4 linked regions of the Canis lupus familiaris genome follow. The protein of the gene in region 1 interacts with the protein of each later gene in a pairwise test. Links are inferred from orthologs where the notes say so. Each region holds a gene or a part of one and is shown in the gene's direction. Other genes may lie near its edges.

The links.
Region 2: the proteins of IGF1R (region 1) and KCNIP3 interact in binary tests that used the Homo sapiens proteins (3 or more experiments, as listed by UniProt). The two-hybrid records come from large-scale screens. The link is inferred for Canis lupus familiaris from reciprocal best matches to the Homo sapiens genes IGF1R and KCNIP3.
Region 3: the proteins of IGF1R (region 1) and SHC1 interact in a two-hybrid assay, tested with the Homo sapiens proteins (4 studies listed by BioGRID and IntAct). The link is inferred for Canis lupus familiaris from reciprocal best matches to the Homo sapiens genes IGF1R and SHC1.
Region 4: the proteins of IGF1R (region 1) and YWHAB interact in a two-hybrid assay, tested with the Homo sapiens proteins (2 studies listed by IntAct). The link is inferred for Canis lupus familiaris from reciprocal best matches to the Homo sapiens genes IGF1R and YWHAB.

The regions. Positions count from the first base shown.
Region 1 is NC_049224.1:42,430,069-42,435,188, forward strand, and holds part of IGF1R (insulin-like growth factor 1 receptor), read left to right. Parts: intron 1-1,307; coding exon 1,308-1,546; intron 1,547-3,923; coding exon 3,924-4,091; intron 4,092-4,291; coding exon 4,292-4,496; intron 4,497-5,120. UniProt on the Homo sapiens protein: Receptor tyrosine kinase which mediates actions of insulin-like growth factor 1 (IGF1). Binds IGF1 with high affinity and IGF2 and insulin (INS) with a lower affinity. The activated IGF1R is involved in cell growth and survival control.
Region 2 is NC_049238.1:34,901,676-34,906,819, reverse strand, and holds the end of KCNIP3 (calsenilin), read left to right. Parts: coding exon 1-98; intron 99-753; coding exon 754-816; intron 817-1,455; coding exon 1,456-1,503; 3' UTR 1,504-3,578; downstream 3,579-5,144. UniProt on the Homo sapiens protein: Calcium-dependent transcriptional repressor that binds to the DRE element of genes including PDYN and FOS. Affinity for DNA is reduced upon binding to calcium and enhanced by binding to magnesium. Seems to be involved in nociception.
Region 3 is NC_049228.1:42,491,001-42,495,416, forward strand, and holds part of SHC1 (SHC-transforming protein 1), read left to right. Parts: intron 1-280; coding exon 281-351; intron 352-911; coding exon 912-975; intron 976-1,133; coding exon 1,134-1,253; intron 1,254-1,496; coding exon 1,497-1,550; intron 1,551-1,722; coding exon 1,723-1,774; intron 1,775-1,937; coding exon 1,938-2,064; intron 2,065-2,826; coding exon 2,827-3,025; intron 3,026-3,112; coding exon 3,113-3,182; intron 3,183-3,264; coding exon 3,265-3,396; intron 3,397-3,554; coding exon 3,555-3,793; intron 3,794-4,103; coding exon 4,104-4,232; 3' UTR 4,233-4,416. UniProt on the Homo sapiens protein: Signaling adapter that couples activated growth factor receptors to signaling pathways. Participates in a signaling cascade initiated by activated KIT and KITLG/SCF.
Region 4 is NC_049245.1:32,950,321-32,954,187, forward strand, and holds part of YWHAB (14-3-3 protein beta/alpha), read left to right. Parts: intron 1-1,120; coding exon 1,121-1,284; intron 1,285-2,167; coding exon 2,168-2,263; intron 2,264-2,579; coding exon 2,580-2,636; 3' UTR 2,637-3,867. UniProt on the Homo sapiens protein: Adapter protein implicated in the regulation of a large spectrum of both general and specialized signaling pathways. Binds to a large number of partners, usually by recognition of a phosphoserine or phosphothreonine motif.

The DNA.
Region 1 (5,120 bases):
TAGGTTATGAGCCCTCTGAACCAGGGAAGGAAGAATGGAGGGAGACTGACCTTCATGTTTTTAACCTTTCATGATTTCTCCCAAAATCTGGGGGCTTTTCTTGTGCCTACAGGTGATATCCACCTGCCTCAGCAGGTCTCTCTCTTCCTTTCTTTGCCTCCTTATCCATGTGGTTCCCCCAGTCTCATTAACCACCCTCCTTAACCAGCTCCAATTGTGATTCTGTAGGTCTCTTTCCAAAGTGGTTGGCTTCCCCAGAGCTAGAACCAGAGCCACCAATGGCAGTATCTGGTCCCCTTGCCCCTGCCATAGCCAGGACCCTGGGAAGGGTCATAGGAGTAAAAAAAAGCAGATCTCAGGATTATTGGGTGCTCAGTGTGTTTCTGTGTGGGAGTCATTCATGGTCTTCTGTTATGATGACAGGGAGGGCCATGTTAATATCTGTTTCAGAAGCCAGCGGCTAGGGTCTGTCTGACCCTTTCATCTGATTGATGGAGAACCCCTACCTGCCCAAGAATGTGTGCAAAATATTCTCTCTTTGATGCTTCCACCAGTGCTTTGGCATTTTCACCTGGTAATCTCACCAAGGAGTCAGTGTTAGTTTCAGAGACAATCTGGAAGCTAAATACTTGAATATCATAAAATACTTAAGCAATCACAATTGTTTGCGAGCCATTGAGATTTTGAAAGCTCTATGTTGGAAGCTGTTCTTCTGTAGTAAAAGTCCTTTCTCCCCAAAAGTTTTATTCTTCCTCAGTAGCTAATGTTTGCATTAAATTATTATGCTTATTTTGTTCTTAATGGTGAAAAATGCCACAATTGGAAAAGAGAAAAATAGCATTTGCTTGTATGCTTAAGGAGCTGAGTTTTCAATCCCAGCAACAATTAGAATTTATTTTTCTTGAGGCAGAGTATGCAGTTCTACAGTGTGTTTGTAAATGTGGTGAAACCTGGGGTCCCGTTGCTTAATTTTATCCTTCTGTACAAATCTAATTGACCATGTATTTCTAATTCCCATTATAGAAAGTGTGACGGGACGCCTGGGTGGCTCAGCAATTGAGTGTTTGCCTTTGACTTGGGCATGATCCTGGGGTCTGGGATCAAGTCCCACATTGGGCTCCTGCAGAGAGCCTGCTTCTCCCTCTGCTTATGTCTCTGCCTCTTTCTCTCTGTGTCTCATGAGTACATAAATAAAATATTTTTTTAAAAATAGAAAGTGTGATGTGCTTGGCCCTTGGGAAAGGTTTCTGAGGGTTTTGATGTCAGAGACCTAAAACTTTCTCTGAGTTTCACCCACTGTCTTGCAGACCTTTTAAAAACGTTACGGAGTATGATGGGCAGGATGCCTGTGGCTCCAACAGCTGGAATATGGTAGATGTGGACCTCCCTCCCAACAAGGACGTTGAGCCTGGCATTTTACTGCACGGACTGAAGCCCTGGACGCAGTATGCGGTTTATGTCAAGGCGGTGACCCTCACCATGGTGGAGAATGACCACATCCGTGGGGCTAAGAGTGAAATCTTGTACATTCGCACCAATGCTTCAGGTATCTGCACACCGCCCATCCCATATTCAAGCTCACCATGCTTGCTTATGACAAGTGTAGGCAGAGGGCCAGCAACACATGTGCCTGTTGTTTCTCTTGAACCTGGACCAGTCTGCTTTTTATGTATCTTTCTTACCAATAACTAATGCTCTGTCATACTATTTTTCTCAGTCCCAATACCCTGGGCTCTCCTGGGCCATTTTCTGACCCATCTCCTATCATCTGTCTGCCCTGCACCAGTGAGCCCAGGTCCTCCAGGAGGCTGGGGTGGTTTTTTTCGGAGGACCCCTCCAGGATACAGCCCCCTGTTTTATTTTCATAGCTGAACCTCCAGGAACTGAAAACATGCTAAGTTCGTGTCCCATTTACCTCATGTGGCTACTTGGTTTTCCATCTTCATTCTGTAGGGACCGGGTCCCACGAAGGTAGACAGAATTTGGAAATGTCAGACAGAGTATGTATGTTGTGGACATTCCAGATATTCACTGGTAAAAGTGTTCCTCTTTCTGTCTCTGTCTTCATTTTCTAAACCACCTCATTTTTCTCAACCCCAGAGTCTGGAACTAATGAAAGCAAACGTTTCTGTGTATTAGCTAAGTATATGAAAACCAGCTTAGAGGTAGGAAAATCCACATCATTTCTAAAGACAATGATAAATATCCTTGGATGATAGGGGTTTTTAAAGAATACCCTTAAGGTAGCACAAAACAAGTTTAAATGGTGGAGAGGGTAAAGAAAAAGTGTTTATGGGGAAAACCTTTGGCTCCTGCATGCCTGCTTCTTCCTCCCTTCCTCCATCTCAGGGATCCCATAAGTGGTCACAATCATGTCACAGATCCTAAAGTGTTTATAGAAGTAAATCTGGCACAGGCTTCTGATCCTGGATGTGGGTAGTATAGCAGAGGCTCAAAGGCAACAAAACAAGTTATGCTTCCTAAGGTTTGGAAGTAAATTATTGTTGCCAGCTCAGGAAAAATACGAATCTTTCCTTTTTATGACAAATTCTTTTCTTTCTTTTTTTTTTTTTTTCTTTTTTTTTAAGATCCATTCAGGGGCACCTGGGTGGCTCAGTGGTTGAGTGTCTGCCTTTGGCTCAGGTTGTGATCCCAAGGTCCTGGGATTAAGTCCCATATCAGGCTCCATGCTGGAAGCCTGCTTCTTCCTCTGCCTGTGTCTCTGCCTCTCTCTTTGTGTCTCTCAGGAATAAATAAATAAAGTCTTTAAAAATAATAAAATAAAGATTAATTCATTTACTTTAGAGAGAGAGTGAGCTGAGGGAGAGGGACAGAGAGGGAGAGAGAGAGTCCTCAAGCAGACTCCCCACCAAACAGAGCCCAATGTGGGGCTCGATCTCAGGATCCTGAGACCATGACCTGAGCTAAAATCCAGAGTCAGCTGCCCAACTGACTAAGCCACTCAAGTGCCCCTTATTATATGATGAATTCTTAAACCCATTTCCCTTCCCCAAAGATGGAAAACTAAGCACCATACAAATTGGGCCAGTTCCCTACATTTTGGCCCCTGTCCTTTCAAGTGGCAGAAAGAGAGGAAGGCCCAGTAAGTCCTCTGCTTCAGCTTTTTTGTGATACTTAGACTTGAAACATCGAGGGGTACGCTATTTATTCTTGAGATATTGACTTTGGAAATCTGAAAGTGGCCGAGCATCCCGTGGTTGTTTTTCCTGAAAAATCTGGCATTAGTCACAACTTCTTCCTAAAGCATCACTCCAAACAGGTGTTCAGAATCTTGTGTATGATATTATGGGCCTTAAAGTACCCTCAAGCTCTTTGCCCTTTGAAATTTTAAAAGTGGCTTGGATGGCCATGTTGTGTAAGTGATCTACAGTAAAGAGGTCTCTTTACTCTTTACTTTGGAAAACCCATGAAAATCAGTGTTTTCTTGTGAACCCAAGGAAAATACGATTTCGCTGGTCCTGAGATGTGATTGCCCTTTATACATAAGGCAGCTCTGGGTTTGGGTTTGGGAGGCAGTAGTACATAAAACTTGACCAGATTATTATGCTTTATCTGTAAATCAGTATTCTTTGGCTGCTAACAGAGTCTATTGCTTGCAGCCAAGGCTCTGTGTATGCTTGGGTTTGTGGACTGCTTTTCCTAGTCCTGCCTCATTCATTCTGTGAATGAATGAGGGGATCATGACCTGAGCCAAAGGCAGATGCTCAACCACTGAACCACCTAAGTGCCCCTAAATTAATACGATTTCAAAGAAAGATTTACTTGTCATCTCATGGATCTATGTTCACTGTGTCCTCACCCAGGTCATGCCTGTGGCTTCTTGTTGGTTTGCTATGACTACCTGCCAGCCTGGGTTTTGGGTTCATTCCATGTTCTGAAATGTCCTCTGTTGCTCTCTCCAGTTCCTTCCATTCCCCTGGATGTTCTTTCTGCATCAAACTCCTCTTCTCAGCTCATTGTGAAGTGGAACCCACCCTCTCTGCCCAACGGTAACCTCAGTTACTACATCGTGAGGTGGCAGCGGCAGCCCCAGGACAGTTACCTTTACCGCCACAACTACTGCTCCAAAGGTGAGTGGGAGGGATAGAAGCGAGGGGGCTTGGGACCAAACCCCAGCATCCGAATGGATCCAGGCCCCAATGTAACATGCGGCCCCTTGTCAGAACTCGGCTACATTCTCCACTGAGTGTGCTGGTGGCGACCCCTTTTCCTCCCCAGCACATACAACCTATTGATTTCTATTCCTGCTGGGCTTGTCTTTCCTGAGTAGATAAAATCCCCATCAGGAAGTATGCTGATGGCACTATCGATGTCGAAGAGGTGACAGAGAATCCCAAGACCGAAGTATGTGGTGGAGAGAAGGGGCCTTGCTGTGCCTGCCCCAAAACTGAGGCCGAGAAGCAGGCTGAGAAGGAGGAGGCCGAGTACCGCAAAGTGTTCGAGAATTTCCTGCACAACTCCATCTTCGTGCCCAGGTACCACTGCCATTTGAGAACATCTCCAGGCTGCTAGTCCTCAGGCAGGTTCCGTTGCTTTGTCCCCACTCAGGGGGGTTTATAGGTCAGCAGCCTCCTGGCAGAACCTATGGCCATCAGGGGAAGGACCAACAAAACAAGGTATCAGCTTGGTTGAGTGAGGTAGGGGCTGTGGAAGCCGGTTAGCCCTGACGGAGGGGCCGCCCCAGCCACACAGCCTCCCGCAGAGGCAGGTGGGCTCTCAGCTGTGGGGACAGGTAAGTGAAACTTGGAGAGGCTCACACCCTCAGACACCAGTGAATGGAGGGCCCTTTCTGTCCATCGCACCACTCTTCCCTGCTGCCTCTCAAAGCCAGGCTGAGAAGTGAAGCCAGAGTGAGTTTTGTAAGTGCCCCAACCTCCAAGCACAACCAGGTGCCACAGGCATCCCTGACACACACGTTTGAGGAGCAGCGTAGAGGACAGCCTTTCAGGGTAAAGCGGTCTCTGTCCCCAGGAATCCATCTGCTCCCCTGCCCCAGTCCCCGTTTCCACTAAGTGAGGACAAAAATGGAGGAAGGTAAATATGCAAAGCCGCACTATTCACAGTAGCCAAAGCTGGGAGCAACCCACGTGTCCATCAGT
Region 2 (5,144 bases), on another chromosome or scaffold:
TGGCCATTATGAAGTCCATCTATGACATGATGGGCCGCCACACCTACCCTATCCTGCGGGAGGACGCACCTCTGGAGCACGTGGAGAGGTTCTTCCAGGTGAGAGCTCTAGCCCCGGACTTGAGGGGAAGGGCAGATAGAGGAGGGAGGGGGTCCTCCTCTTAGGACAACCCTGCAAGCCACTCCCCTCTGTGAGCCCCCATCCTGCCATGAGGAGGTTAAACTTGCATCCCCTACCTTGGTCAGGATCCCAGTGAGCAAATGAAAACATCATCCCCACTCCCCAATCCACTGAACCTCATCTCAGGGCAGACCAGGGCTTATGGATTCAATGGGGCTGACACACCAGGCCAGTGTTCTGGTGCCTTCCAAGAGCCCTCCCAGCTCCTCCAGAAAAACAATGCAAGAGGATTGGGGTTGGGAGTAACCTTGCTCTGTGTCCAGGGGGATGAAAGGGACTAAAGTTTCCACCTCCCATGTACTGGTGGCCCCATCTGCCCTGGCTGCCTGTCAGGGAGATGAGGGGGTCAGAGGAGCATGGGGATGCATTCTGGTAAGTGTAAGCCCAAGGAAGCTGCTGGGAAATGGCTGGGTGTGGGGATCAGGCTGGGGAGATGGCAGAGAGGTCAGCTGTGCCACAACAGGTAGCTGAGGAGGGCACTTTATATGGCCTGGATCCAGAGTACAAGCCAGAGGGGACAAGTTGGGATGGAGCAGACCCAGAGACTCACTGAGGGCTTGGCTTGGGTTACAGAAAATGGACCGGAATCAAGATGGGGTGGTGACCATTGATGAATTCCTGGAGACCTGTCAGAAGGTAGGTGGCATTAGGGGTTGAGGATACCCAGGGTCCCCTGCCAGTCCCCAAACCCCTCCTAACCTCCAAACTCCATGTTTGCACTTTCCTCTGAGCCCATCCCATTGCCACCAGCTCCTGCCAGCCCTCAGTCCAAGGGCATGCCATTCCTCAGACTGCCCCATAATGCCTCACATCAGAGGGGACAGACATGGGCCAATGGGAGGATGATGGGCCCTGTGGCCCTCAGTACAGGGTCACACTGTGATCAAGGTGCCTGGAGGATCCCCCAGCATTGCCATGGATCTTCCTGTTCAGAGCACCCTTGGGGCGTGTGACCTTGTGCCTCCACTGGCCTTAGCCACCAGCATCACTCCCAGATTGGCCTCTCAGGTATCTCTGGCCTCCATCTGAGTGCAGCCAGGGAAATGTGTCCATCAGCAAGTCAGCAGCCCCTAGATGGGCTTGCAGTCAGACTCTGGGGCTGAAGACAGGCTGGGCCTGACCAGCTGCCCCTTCACTCAGTGAGACAGAGTGATCACTGTAGGGTTCCGAGTCCCCGGCAAGAATCTGCTCAAGGTAGGAGCAATTTGGGCACTGCTCTGCCCTGTCCACCCAGGGTCTGACCAGGCCTCTCATCCCCCTTCTCTCTCCACACAGGATGAGAACATCATGAGCTCCATGCAGCTGTTTGAGAACGTCATCTAGGACATGTCGGTGGGGAGGGGTCCTTGGGTGGCCACTGCCACCTCTGCCCCCAAAGAAATCTCAGTCCTGCCAGGAGCAGCCTCCATGAGAAACTTTTTTTCTAATATATTTGCAAAACGTGAACAGTTTCCTCTAGACACACACACACACATACACACACAGCCCATTCCTTTGGGCTGGTAGAGGGGGTGCAGAGGTCAGGGAGGGACTGAGTCTGGCTGGGAGTTGGATCCAGGTGATGGGAGCCAGACTACCCCAGCCAGCCCCTGTCCAGGCCAGGGGGGTGGGGCTGCCTCTGGAGGGGGCACTGAAACAGCAGTGTTTGCAGGCTGCTGGCCATGGGGTGCTGTCAGGAAGGAGCTCAAGATCCCCTACAGCAGAGGGTCCGGTCTCCAAAATAAAGGCCCCTCTGGTGTGTGTCCCCTTGCCCCTCCCTCCTACTACCCTTCCTTCTCACCACACATGGGCCAAGTTCTGGGAACTACTCTGGCCTTCTTGTCCTTTAACCACTCCCTGCCCACTGATTGCACTCCCAGGACTTCACCACAGGACAAGGGGGGACAGGCAGCGGGATCAAGAGAATTGGGACTAGGAGAGAGAGGTAGTAATGGAGACAGCCTGCTGTTTCCTGGAAATGCTTCCTTGGATTCCCAGGAATTGCCTGCCACTCCACTGGCAAGCCCCAGTGGTAAGGGGCCACTGGACACTTCTCTCCATCCTGGGAAGGGGGCCTTTCAAGCTCAGGGATTGGGTTTCTTGGTGGAGAATCAGGGGGACTGTCTGCCAAGTCCACTGAAATGGAAGAAGCCTTCCCTTGCCCTAGGCCTAGCTCAGTGGGAATGAAGTGGGTGGGGCCACCGTACCCCTCTGGCACTAGAGTGTTCGACCCCAAGGTCATTATAGGTTCTAAGAAGAGGTCACAAGGCTCAGGGACTGGCAGCCAGGGAGCCCAGGTGGCAGAGCAGGCCTCCTTTCTGAGCAGCTCATCTTCCGCGGCCCCCCACTACCACTTCCTGGTTAGGGTCCTCTAGCAGTGTGGTCACCCTCTCTACACAGCTCATCCAACCCCATACACAAAGCACAAGCACCCAGAGCAGCTCAGGTGGCAGCCCACAATGCAAGCCAAGGACACTTGTTCCAAGATCAGGCCCTCCTAGCGGGCTGAGGCCTGGGTTGCGATGGCCCCGATGCAGGTAGCTCTGGGCAGGAAGCATGGGGTCAGTTCTGTACCTCAGAGCAGTGCGGGCTCGAAGCCCGTCCCCAGCCCAGCCCGGCCCAGCTCACCAACATTCAAAAGCACAAACCGTAGGGACTCTCCCTGTCTGGGTTCTGCTCTGGGGATGGAGGCTGATGTCAGCCTGAAGGCAGAGCCAAGAGTGAGAACTGAGGGGCCTGAGGCAGAGTGGTAGGTCGACAGAAACCTCCAGGAAAGAGAGAGAGGCTGCTCTCATTGGCTCAGGCCTCCCCAAGAAGGAACCCAGTACCCCCCTGGTAGCGTGGGCCTTTCTGAGGAACATTCCCGTACAATACATTCCACCGGCTGCCACCCCCTCTCTGCTCAGGCCTGGCCCAAGGGTGAGCAGGGCCCTCAAAGGAAAGGTGGAATGGTGGAGGCCATGGCAATTGGCCTGGTTTGTCCACGGGGACCCCTTGGCATCCACACCACACAGGTGGCCCTCTCCCTCAGAGTTGTACTGACACCCCATCTCCAGTTTGACTGGGGTGGAGGAGTCTTTCTTCCCTCCTCCAGGAGGGCATCAGCTTTCCCTGGCTCAGGGATCTTCTCCCCCTCCGCCCACCCCTAGGCCCTCCCAGCTGGTGTAGCTGTGCTTCTAAGGGGCCGAGGCCATAGGAGAGTGTCACCACCATGCCCCTGCCCCCTCTTGGCCTTGGGCCAGACTGGCTGCACGTACAAGCAGGAGGGGTCTGTCTCCCACACTGGGATGCGGACTGGCCGCATGTCTGCATGGCAGAAGCGTCTCCCTTGGGTGCAGCCTGGGAAGGTGGTTCCTGTTCTCAGCGCCCACCAATATTCAGTCCTGTATATTTTAATAAAATAAACTTGACAAAGAAGAGGGACTCTTGTTGGCTTTATCCCAACTCTGGATTTCAGTCCAGCCCCTCCTATCCCTGCTGCTATTAGCCATGGCTCCTGCCCAGGGTGATGCTCGTAAATGTTTAACATTCCCTGAATTGTAGCATTGCCAATTTCCATGCTCATTTTATTTCAAGCTCCCACTGTGATGTCACTGAAGGTGGAGCCAGGAAGAGATGCCCACAGTTGGGAAGCCTTTACCAGAAGCTCCAGCCCTGCAACCTCTGCAAAGCCAGTGGAGCAGGCTGACTTTTTGAGGTGCCATTTGTATTTCATTCCCAGACCATTTTTTTTTTTCCAGTTCCAAGAAGTCCTTTCTGCTGTGTCCCCTTGGCTGGAGGGTGCAGGTTACAGGGCAGAAGCAGAATCTGCCTGAAGACATCTTTTTTTTCCTGGCTTTATTTTCAAAAGTGTAAACTCAGTGAGAGTTTATGCTAGGGGAGGAGTAAGAAATGAGAACCTGGCAGGGAGGAGAGGAAGGGGTTTTCCCAACTCAAGGATGGGGAGGAGGGAAGTTCCGGGGGGATCTGCAGTGCTTTAAGGACCAGACCCCATGCCATGTGACATCACCTCCACAGTGAACACAGACCCAAGCCTCCATGAGTCACCAGGTTTGGCTGATAGGGCATCTCAGCAGTAGTTGGGAGGACAGATGACAGGAATCCACTTCCACCACCACACACACCAAAGTCTGCCACTCCACTTGTGCCCCAGGGGCTTGGCACAATCCAGGTAAGGAAGCCCTGAACTTACTGTCCAGGATGGGATATCCTGCATTTGCCACGGGCTAACCACCATGCTGAGCATGTTCACTTTGTCACAGCCTAAAGGGCACAGATGGGAAAGCTGAGTTAAAAGATATTAGGACCGCTCAGTCATTGAAGAATGGAACCAAGCAGGTAGCTCTAGGCTGGGTTTAAGCACTGAATTGCCTACTTCATGATGGTCTACAGAGCTGAGAGTGGGGAAAGCCCATCTATCCATCATCCATCCGTGATCCATTCTCCATCATCCATCTATTTGTATATCTGTTTTTCCACTCATTTACTCAGCACCTTCCTGACCTGGACACAGTACATAGGTGGTGACCAGGCTATGCCTTCTGTGTAGCTGGGTGGCAGTGAGGAATCCAAAGGAGCCCTGGGATCAGGGATAGAAGATAGTCCTGACCTGGGCCATAACATTTATGTAGCCTTGGACAAGTCTCATCCTCTCTCTCTCTCTCTCTCTCTCTTTCTCTTTCTCTCTGGGTATTGGTGTAGAAGAGAGGAGGGAACACTTTCCAACTCATTTTAAGGAGTGGTATTACCTGGATTTTTTTCTTAAAAAATCAGTCATGGATAGGATAAGAAAGAAAAATCACAGGACATTCTCAACTACAAAAGAAAGATGTAAAAAGTCAGAATATCAGTAAACTCATTTCAACAATGTATGTTATATGTACATGGTATATGTAATATAACAGATTTGGGTTTATCCCAGAAATGCAAGGTTTAAATAAAAAATATAGGCACTTTAGTTTCCAATAACAGAGTGTCTAGGTAAC
Region 3 (4,416 bases), on another chromosome or scaffold:
GGATGTCACCTTCCCCACCCCCCACCCCAGTGCCCATCACTGTCCTCGAGATCCTCTTCCCAGATGTCCAGGCCCTCCTGGCTTGCTCGATCCTCCGCCCCTCATTTCCTGTGGTCTGGCACATTGTGGGTGTAGCCGCAGGCTGTGGGCAAAACTTGGTCTTCACTCTTCAGAGTCAGCCTTTTGGCTAAGATCAAGTGTAGGAAGCACTCAGGGGAAAGGCCTGGGACTCTTTTTGTGGAGGGGGTGCTGACTCGTTACCTTCCTTTCCTCCTTTCAGTACATGGGCTGTGTGGAGGTCCTGCAGTCAATGCGTGCCTTGGACTTCAACACCCGCACCCAAGTCACCAGGTTAGTGGGGAGGGGGCAGACTGGGGATTCCTGAATTAATGAGGGGAGAGGGGGTACATAGGGGAGTGGGCTCCTGGATCAGTGAGTATAGGAGGGAGTGGGTCTTGGTCACTTGCTAGTGATGGCTTACCTTCAGGGATAAAGGATTGAGAGAAAGTTAGGGGAATCAGTCTAAGTCTGAATGAAAAGCAGCACCTCTCTGGTCTGGGACCTTCTTATTTATCCAGTCCTGTGTATGGTGGGAGAGGTGGCAGAGGCAGCTGGCAGCTGGAGCCTGAGTATAAAATGGGGTGGATGGAAGATTGCTGCTGCCTTTGGGATGGAATGGGACATTTGGTCGCTGGAAGTAGGTGGGGCCAGACTCACAGAGGCCCTAACCCAATCAGCCAGGAAGTGGCCTCTCCGTGTCATCAAATATTAAAGGCCTTTAATTCAATCCACCATGACAAAGAGCCTGGAGTGCCCCTGAAGTCTGGCCTGGTCTTCCCCTCCCCCTGCCCTGTGGCAGCCCCAGCTGAGTGGGAGGCAGGCTGTGGGTCTGAGGACCCCTTTCTCTCCAGGGAGGCCATCAGTCTGGTGTGTGAGGCTGTGCCCGGTGCCAAGGGGGCTACAAGAAGGAGAAAGGTACCTGGGGCTGATGGGGCTGGGGGCACTGCTGGGAAATGTGGAGGAGCAGGGGGAAGATAAGTCTGGGACCTGTGGGGGGAAGGCCAAAAGGCGGAGGGAGGGGGATTCGTGGTGTGGGGAGCCCCCAACTTCTGAGACTCTGGGCCCTTCCCTAGCCCTGTAGCCGCCCACTCAGTGCCATCCTGGGGAGGAGTAATCTGAAATTTGCGGGAATGCCAATCACTCTCACCGTCTCCACCAGCAGCCTCAACCTTATGGCCGCAGACTGCAAACAGGTTGGTGGGGTTGGGCAAGGGGGCCAGAAACACTGCTGGGAGAGCGGAGCGGGGACCTGGCCACAGGGCCAGGAGCTAAGACAGGAAGGAAGGAGGAGCATAGGAGGACCTGGGCTAAGAAGCCAAAAGGGTGGGACTGACACTCCAGGGCTCCGGGCCCGGGCTGGGGGTGCCCAGGAAGGCCCCAAGGCTGCCTGACCTGTGTTATTCCCTTCCTTCTCTGTACCCTGCCCTAACCCTCAGATCATCGCCAACCACCACATGCAGTCTATCTCCTTTGCGTCCGGTGGGGACCCGGTGAGTTGGGGAACAGGGTGGAGGTGGGGGAGGAGTAGGGGCCATGCTGTCTGGAAAGAGGGTGTGCTGGGGTCCAAGTGGTGTCTGGAAAGGACCAGGATGTGTAGGGGTCAGGAATGAGGTGGGCTGGAAACTGGAGCTAAGTGGCTTCTTCTGACCCTGCCCACCCCAGGACACAGCTGAGTACGTCGCCTATGTTGCCAAAGACCCGGTGAATCAGAGAGGTGAGGCGTGGTGGGGAGCGCTGGGTGGGGCCGGCTGTCCGTGAGGCAGGTGAGCAGGACCTGGGTAGCTAAGTAGGGCTTCGGCTGGGAAGATGAGGCCCCTGACCGCGCCTCCTCCCAGCAGTCCACCAGAACTCACTGACTGCCTTTACTGTGCCCCCAGCCTGTCATATCCTGGAATGTCCCGAAGGGCTTGCTCAGGATGTCATCAGCACCATCGGCCAGGCCTTCGAGTTGCGCTTCAAACAATACCTCAGGAACCCGCCCAAGCTGGTCACCCCTCATGACAGGTGAGCGGGTGCGCAGGGTATGGGCAGCTCCTAGGCACTAGCTGGAACTGAGAAAGCAGGTCTGCTCCACTGCCCACGCTTGAGCTCAGAGAGGGTCAGGGGGAAATAACCTGTGTGCCTGTTTCCCACTTCCTGCTATTCTTACGTTTCCTGTGGCCGTCAGGAAAGTCTGGCCAGGTCCTGCCTGCTTCTGCAGGCCCGCTCTTCCTCTCGTATGCCAGGCCACCGTGCTGCTGCTCTGCCCTTCTGTCCTCAGCCACCTCACTGCTGGCCTGTCTCTCTTTCTTGACCATTTCTCCGTCCTTATTTTTTCACTTTCTTGCCCATAGAGCCATCAGGAATTTGGGTGAGGGAGGGTGTCTTTTTTCCTGAGATCTCGACCTTTCTTTCCCACCTTAGATCAGTAGCTACTGAGTATTTAGAGGAGGTTAAAATATTCTGGAGTGCATCCCTTCTTTCTACTGTGTGCTTCCCCTTCCTCTTGGGAGATAGCATAATAACTGAGAACATGAACTTTAAATCAAATCTGATGTTACCATTCAGGTCTGCCACCGTTTAATTGTGAAACAATAAGCAAACGTCTCCACCTCTGCTCCTCATCTCACCTGTATCACTGGAGAAGGGGGTATAGATACCTTGCAGGGCTGCCAGGGGGATAGAATGCCTGTGTGTAGGAAACGCCCAGACTCAGGCCCACCCTGCAGGAAGTACCCAGTCCATGGCCACTGTCTGTGCCCCCTTGTTCCCTCCTGTCCCTCTCAGGATGGCTGGTTTTGACGGCTCAGCTTGGGATGAGGAGGAGGAAGAGCCACCTGACCACCAGTACTATAATGACTTCCCGGGGAAGGAGCCCCCTCTTGGGGGAGTGGTGGACATGAGGCTTCGGGAAGCAGCCCCCCTGGGGGCTGTTCGGCCCACCCCACACGTTGTCCAGACCCCCAGCCACCTGGGAGCAACGCTGGTAAGTTATTTGGATGGAGGTGGGCTGGGCCTGGGATGGGAGTGGCCAATTTGGGCTTCTGGTCTCATTTCATTTTTGTTTCTGCAGCCTGTGGGGCAGCCTGTTGGGGGAGACCCAGAAATTCGCAAACAGATGCCACCTCCACCACCCTGCCCAGGTGTGAAGGGAGCTGGGAAGGGCAGAGTCAGGGGTGTGGAGGCAGGGCTGGGGTCACGGTGATGCCTCTGTTTCCTTATCAGGTAAAGAGCTCTTTGATGATCCATCCTACGTCAATGTCCAGAACCTAGACAGGGCCCGGCAAGCAGGGGGTGGGGCTGGGCCCCCCAATCCTGCCATCAATGGCAGCGTGCCCCGAGATCTCTTTGATATGAGTGAGTGCTTCTCTCTCCACTCTGCATCTCTGTCTTCCTACTCCCTGGGTTCCTCCCCTTGTGTCCTGCTCTTTCCTTCCCGGCCTCCCCTCCCTGAAAGTTTGGGTCTGGGTGTGTGTTGTGCCAGTTGCCTCTCAGGCCTCTCTCTGAACCCCCAGAGCCCTTCGAAGATGCGCTTCGGGTGCCTCCACCTCCCCAGGCGGTGGCCATGGCTGAGCAGCTCCGAGGGGAGCCCTGGTTCCATGGGAAGCTGAGCCGGCGGGAGGCCGAGGCCCTGCTGCAGCTCAATGGGGACTTCCTGGTGCGGGAGAGCACGACCACACCCGGCCAGTACGTGCTCACTGGCTTGCAGAGTGGGCAGCCCAAGCACCTGCTGCTGGTGGACCCGGAGGGTGTGGTGAGTGTATCAGGAGTTGGGGGGGGGAGGGCGTGGCAGAAAGGAGGGTGCAGCATGCTCCATGCAGCTATGCGTCTTTCCTCCCTGCTTACTGCTTTTCCTGCTTGGCAGGTAGATGCAGGCATTCTTCCCTTCTCAGACTCCTGAACCTGAGCTCTGTTCCTTTCAGTCCTCAAATGCCCAGCCCTGAAGTGCATTTGAGCTGGGTGTTCATTTTGCCTGAGCCCCTCTTTTGATAAAGGAGGAAACCATCCTGGAGAGGTGGCAATGCCCTTCACCTGAATTGACCCCCTCCCTTCCCACTCCTCAGGTTCGAACAAAGGATCACCGCTTTGAGAGTGTCAGCCACCTCATCAGCTACCACGTGGACAATCACTTGCCTATCATCTCTGCGGGCAGTGAACTCTGTCTCCAACAGCCTGTGGAGCGGAAGCTGTGATCCATCTCAGTGCTTTCTCCCCGAAGGGGTCCTTCCACCACTTCCACTCTATTCCTTGAGTCTCAGGACCTCATTTGAGGGTGTTCTGTGGGCTTGGCCTTGTTGTGTTGGAGCTGGGGATAGTGTGGACATGGTTCAGCATCCAGCTGAATGAGAGGTTTTGTCAGAAGCCTGGGGTAGAATT
Region 4 (3,867 bases), on another chromosome or scaffold:
AATGTATCTAAGGGGAAAGTGCAGAGGGCATTAAAAGTGTGGTATAGTAGTGCATTTAAAGAGATCTTTTTCGGGGATCCCTGGGTGGCGCAGTGGTTTGGCGCCTGCCTTTGGCCCGGGGCGCGATCCTGGAGACCCGGGATCGAGTCCCACGTCGGGCTCCCGGTGAATGGAGCCTGCTTCTCCCTCTGCTTGTGTCTCTGCCTCTCTCTCTCTCTCTGTGTGACTATCATAAATAAATTTAAAAAAAAGATTCTTTAAAAAAAATAAAGAGATCTTTTTCTTAAAAAAAAAAAAAAAAGATCTTGAGAATTATTTGGTATCTCTCTTTTCAGAAATAAAACTAAAATGTCTGATACTATAAAACCACCATAGTAAATAGCAATGCATTTCTTTTATCACGTGCATTTTGTGATGGTAATAACTATAGGTCTGCTTTATTTAGTGCCTACTGTGTGCCAAGTATTTTAGAGTCTCATTTGTTCCTTACACAACTCTAGGAGTTCCAGTGAGGATCTGCCAGTTTTTCTGATGAGGAAACCAAGGCTCACAGGGTTTTTACTTATTCAAGCCCGAGCCCCACATTGAGTGAATGAGTTAGGAATTCAAGTTTGGGTCTGTTGACTCTCTCAAGTCATGATTCTTCTACTGGAGCATATTGTTTCCCATGTTCTATCTTGTTAAAGTTTATTTCTTTTTTTTTTTTTAATAAGATTTTGTTTATTTATTAATGAGAGATACAGAGAGAGAGAGAGTGGCAGAGACGCAGGCAGAGGGAGAAGCAGGCTCCATGCAGGGATCCCGGGTCTCCAGGATCAGGCCCTGGGCTGAAGGCGGCACTAAACTGCTGAGCTACCTGGGCTGCCCATATTTCTGTATTTCTTAAAAACTGCTTTAGTATACTTTGTCATACTTGTTGCTTTCCCCCAAAGCATTTAATGTAGTAGTTGGCTTAGAATAAACATTTAACAAATGATTATTAATCAGATGATGGAGACACTGATCCTTCATTAGTATCACTCCTCATTCCTGCCTGGTATGGTAAAATAACTGGATTGTGGTCCAGCATGTGATGCATCTAGGTAAAAACTCCCTTTTAATGTTCTTGTCTTTCTTATAGCCACTGTGTCGAACTCCCAGCAGGCTTACCAGGAAGCATTTGAAATTAGTAAGAAAGAAATGCAGCCTACACATCCAATTCGACTTGGCCTGGCACTGAATTTCTCCGTCTTCTACTATGAGATTCTAAATTCTCCTGAAAAGGCTTGCAGCCTGGCAAAAACGGTGAGAAAGACCTTCTGGTCATAGTAAAACACTGCTCATTTTTTAGTAACTTCTTATTATTACCTGAATTTAACAACTCCCTGTCTTAGACTTCTCATAAAATTTTAGTGTAAGTTTAAAATATAATCTAAAAAGGTACAGCTTTTTAGAAAAAGGGTACAAGATGTTCTGGAGATAGGAATAGATCTTTTGTGAAAGTAATATGGACCTGTCACTTTTTTATTTCTTCTCAATACACCCTGCTGATTTTTGTTTGTTTTCATTGTGTAATTACTGGTGGTTGTAGAAAATTCAGGGGGAAGGTAGCGTATTGTTTCTTGTCAAACTTTGGGCTCTGTAAGCCTCCATTATGTATTGTATTCCTTGTGGCAAGATTTGATGTTTCAGCTACGCAAATGAAAGAAGTCAGACCAGGTTTTAGTCTTTCAGCATGCATACTGTTATTTAACAATTTTTTTAATTTGGAGAAAGTAGATGAAATGAATTTTCTAAGGTCCATCACTTAATTGAATCAGATTTAGTGGTATGAACTTCTGTTCTCCCTTTATTCCTTATATCCAGACCTTTTGAGGTTTAGTAAAGAAACAAAGGATTACCAATAGTATCTTTGGCCATTAGAAAATGATGTGAATTTGTGCTGGGTTGACAGTAATGCCTGCCGTCTTCATCGCATACAATCCAGTTCTTACCTGGTAATTTGTGTCAGTGTTGGTCAGTGCTTTATAAACATACATTACCTGTTTGCTTATACAGCCAGCAGACAAGGTCATAATAGTTCAGCTCCCATACAGGAAAAGAAATTATATTCGTTAACAGAAAAAAAACTAGGCTAAACTAGCTCCAGAGAACCTGTGACAGCTCTATTAAAGGCTCTTTGTTTTAGGCTTTTGATGAAGCAATTGCTGAATTGGATACACTGAATGAAGAGTCTTACAAAGACAGCACCCTGATCATGCAGTTGCTTAGGGACAATCTCACTGTAAGTACTGCTGGTTTACACGACTGCTTCTGGAGGGCTTATATAGTCTTGTACCTACTCACTGATCTAAGAATTCACTGTTCCCCAAGACTTGAGGGAATATGTACCCTGTAAGTAGAGTTAAAAGTATTAAGTTGTTAAATTGGTTATAAATGACTGCTAAAGTTTTGCCCTTTGCAGTCCTCACTGGCTGCAGTAATACAGGAAGAATTTTAATGCAGTTAAGCGCAAGACAAGGTGGCCCAGATTGGGTCTACCTCCCTGAGTGAATGTTAGTAGCCCTATTTTTGATTATAGCTCTGTTTTTCTCTTGCAGCTGTGGACGTCGGAAAACCAGGGAGATGAAGGAGATGCTGGGGAGGGAGAGAACTAATGTCTGTTGTACTTCGTGATCTGTTCAGTGTCACTCTGTACCCTCCACATATATCCCTTTGTGCGATGATAAAAAAAAAAAAAAAAAAAAAAAGAGTCGTACGTCGACTTTCAATTTTTCACAGCCTCAGCCTAGCAAAATGGTCCACGGGATAAACAGCTGGTGTTTGTATCTAAAACTCAGATTGGTCACATAAATGCCACGGCATTCTGAAGTTTTGGTTTTGATTAACATTGACAGGATTACTGTGTGTTGAATTTTTTTTTAAACTGAACACTGTGATTATGGGGTTTTGTAACTTCGCAGAACTCTTACTGGTAGAAAAAAATAGATCTGAATTATGTGTAACTTTTTGGAAAGTTTAATCTGATATCAAACTAGTCACTGAAATAACAGTTCCATTGTAAAGTTGTACAGAAAGCTATAGAGATTATATTGTGAAGCTGGGACGCAGAGTGAGACACCTGTCCTGTGACATTCAAGTGTGACAGTAACTCACAGTCATTCTGCCTGTTTGGGAGGGATTACAGACACTTGGCCAGTTTGGGCTGTTGCCACTCAAAAGTTCATGACTGCAGATGTCCAGTGTCTTCCTCCGAGTAAACTTGAAGCCTGAAGTAGCCTGAACTCTTTGTGGCAGATAATTGGGTTTGACACCATGAAAAAGGTCCAGTGCTCCTAAAACACGTGACTAGCACCCCTTTCCCGTAGCCATCTTACTGATTTGCACCTTGCGCTCTAGCAGTGGAATCTGTTTCCCTTGTAACTGGGACCTAGAGAAGAAAAGGAAAAAAGCCGCATATCTGTTTCCTGGGTCATACCTTTAAGAGTAATGTTCTGCAGAGATTGCCTTCCACCTGAGAAGTACTCAGCCTTTGAGTGCTTTCTAGCTTGGGGCTTTTAAATTTTGAAATCGAAACATTCTTCCCCCTGTCCTTTTTTTGACTGTTGACTCTGGTTTTTCTTTTCAGTCTTTAAACATCTGTCCTGCTTCCTTACGTTTTTTTTCTTTTTGAATTTTGTCCTTGTCTTCTCTCCATTGTTTAATCTGGCATGGGCCAGGTGGGGGCTTGGAGGGGGTGAGCAGGGTCGGCGAGCACTTTGGTCAGCAGGCTTCGCTTCGGAGAGTTAAGAAGAGCTTCTAGCACATAGCTCTGACTTCCTCCAGTTCTCAGCACTCTTGTTTGCTCTTCAGTCCAACCAAGAATCTGAATCAAAAAGTGTTTTTCAA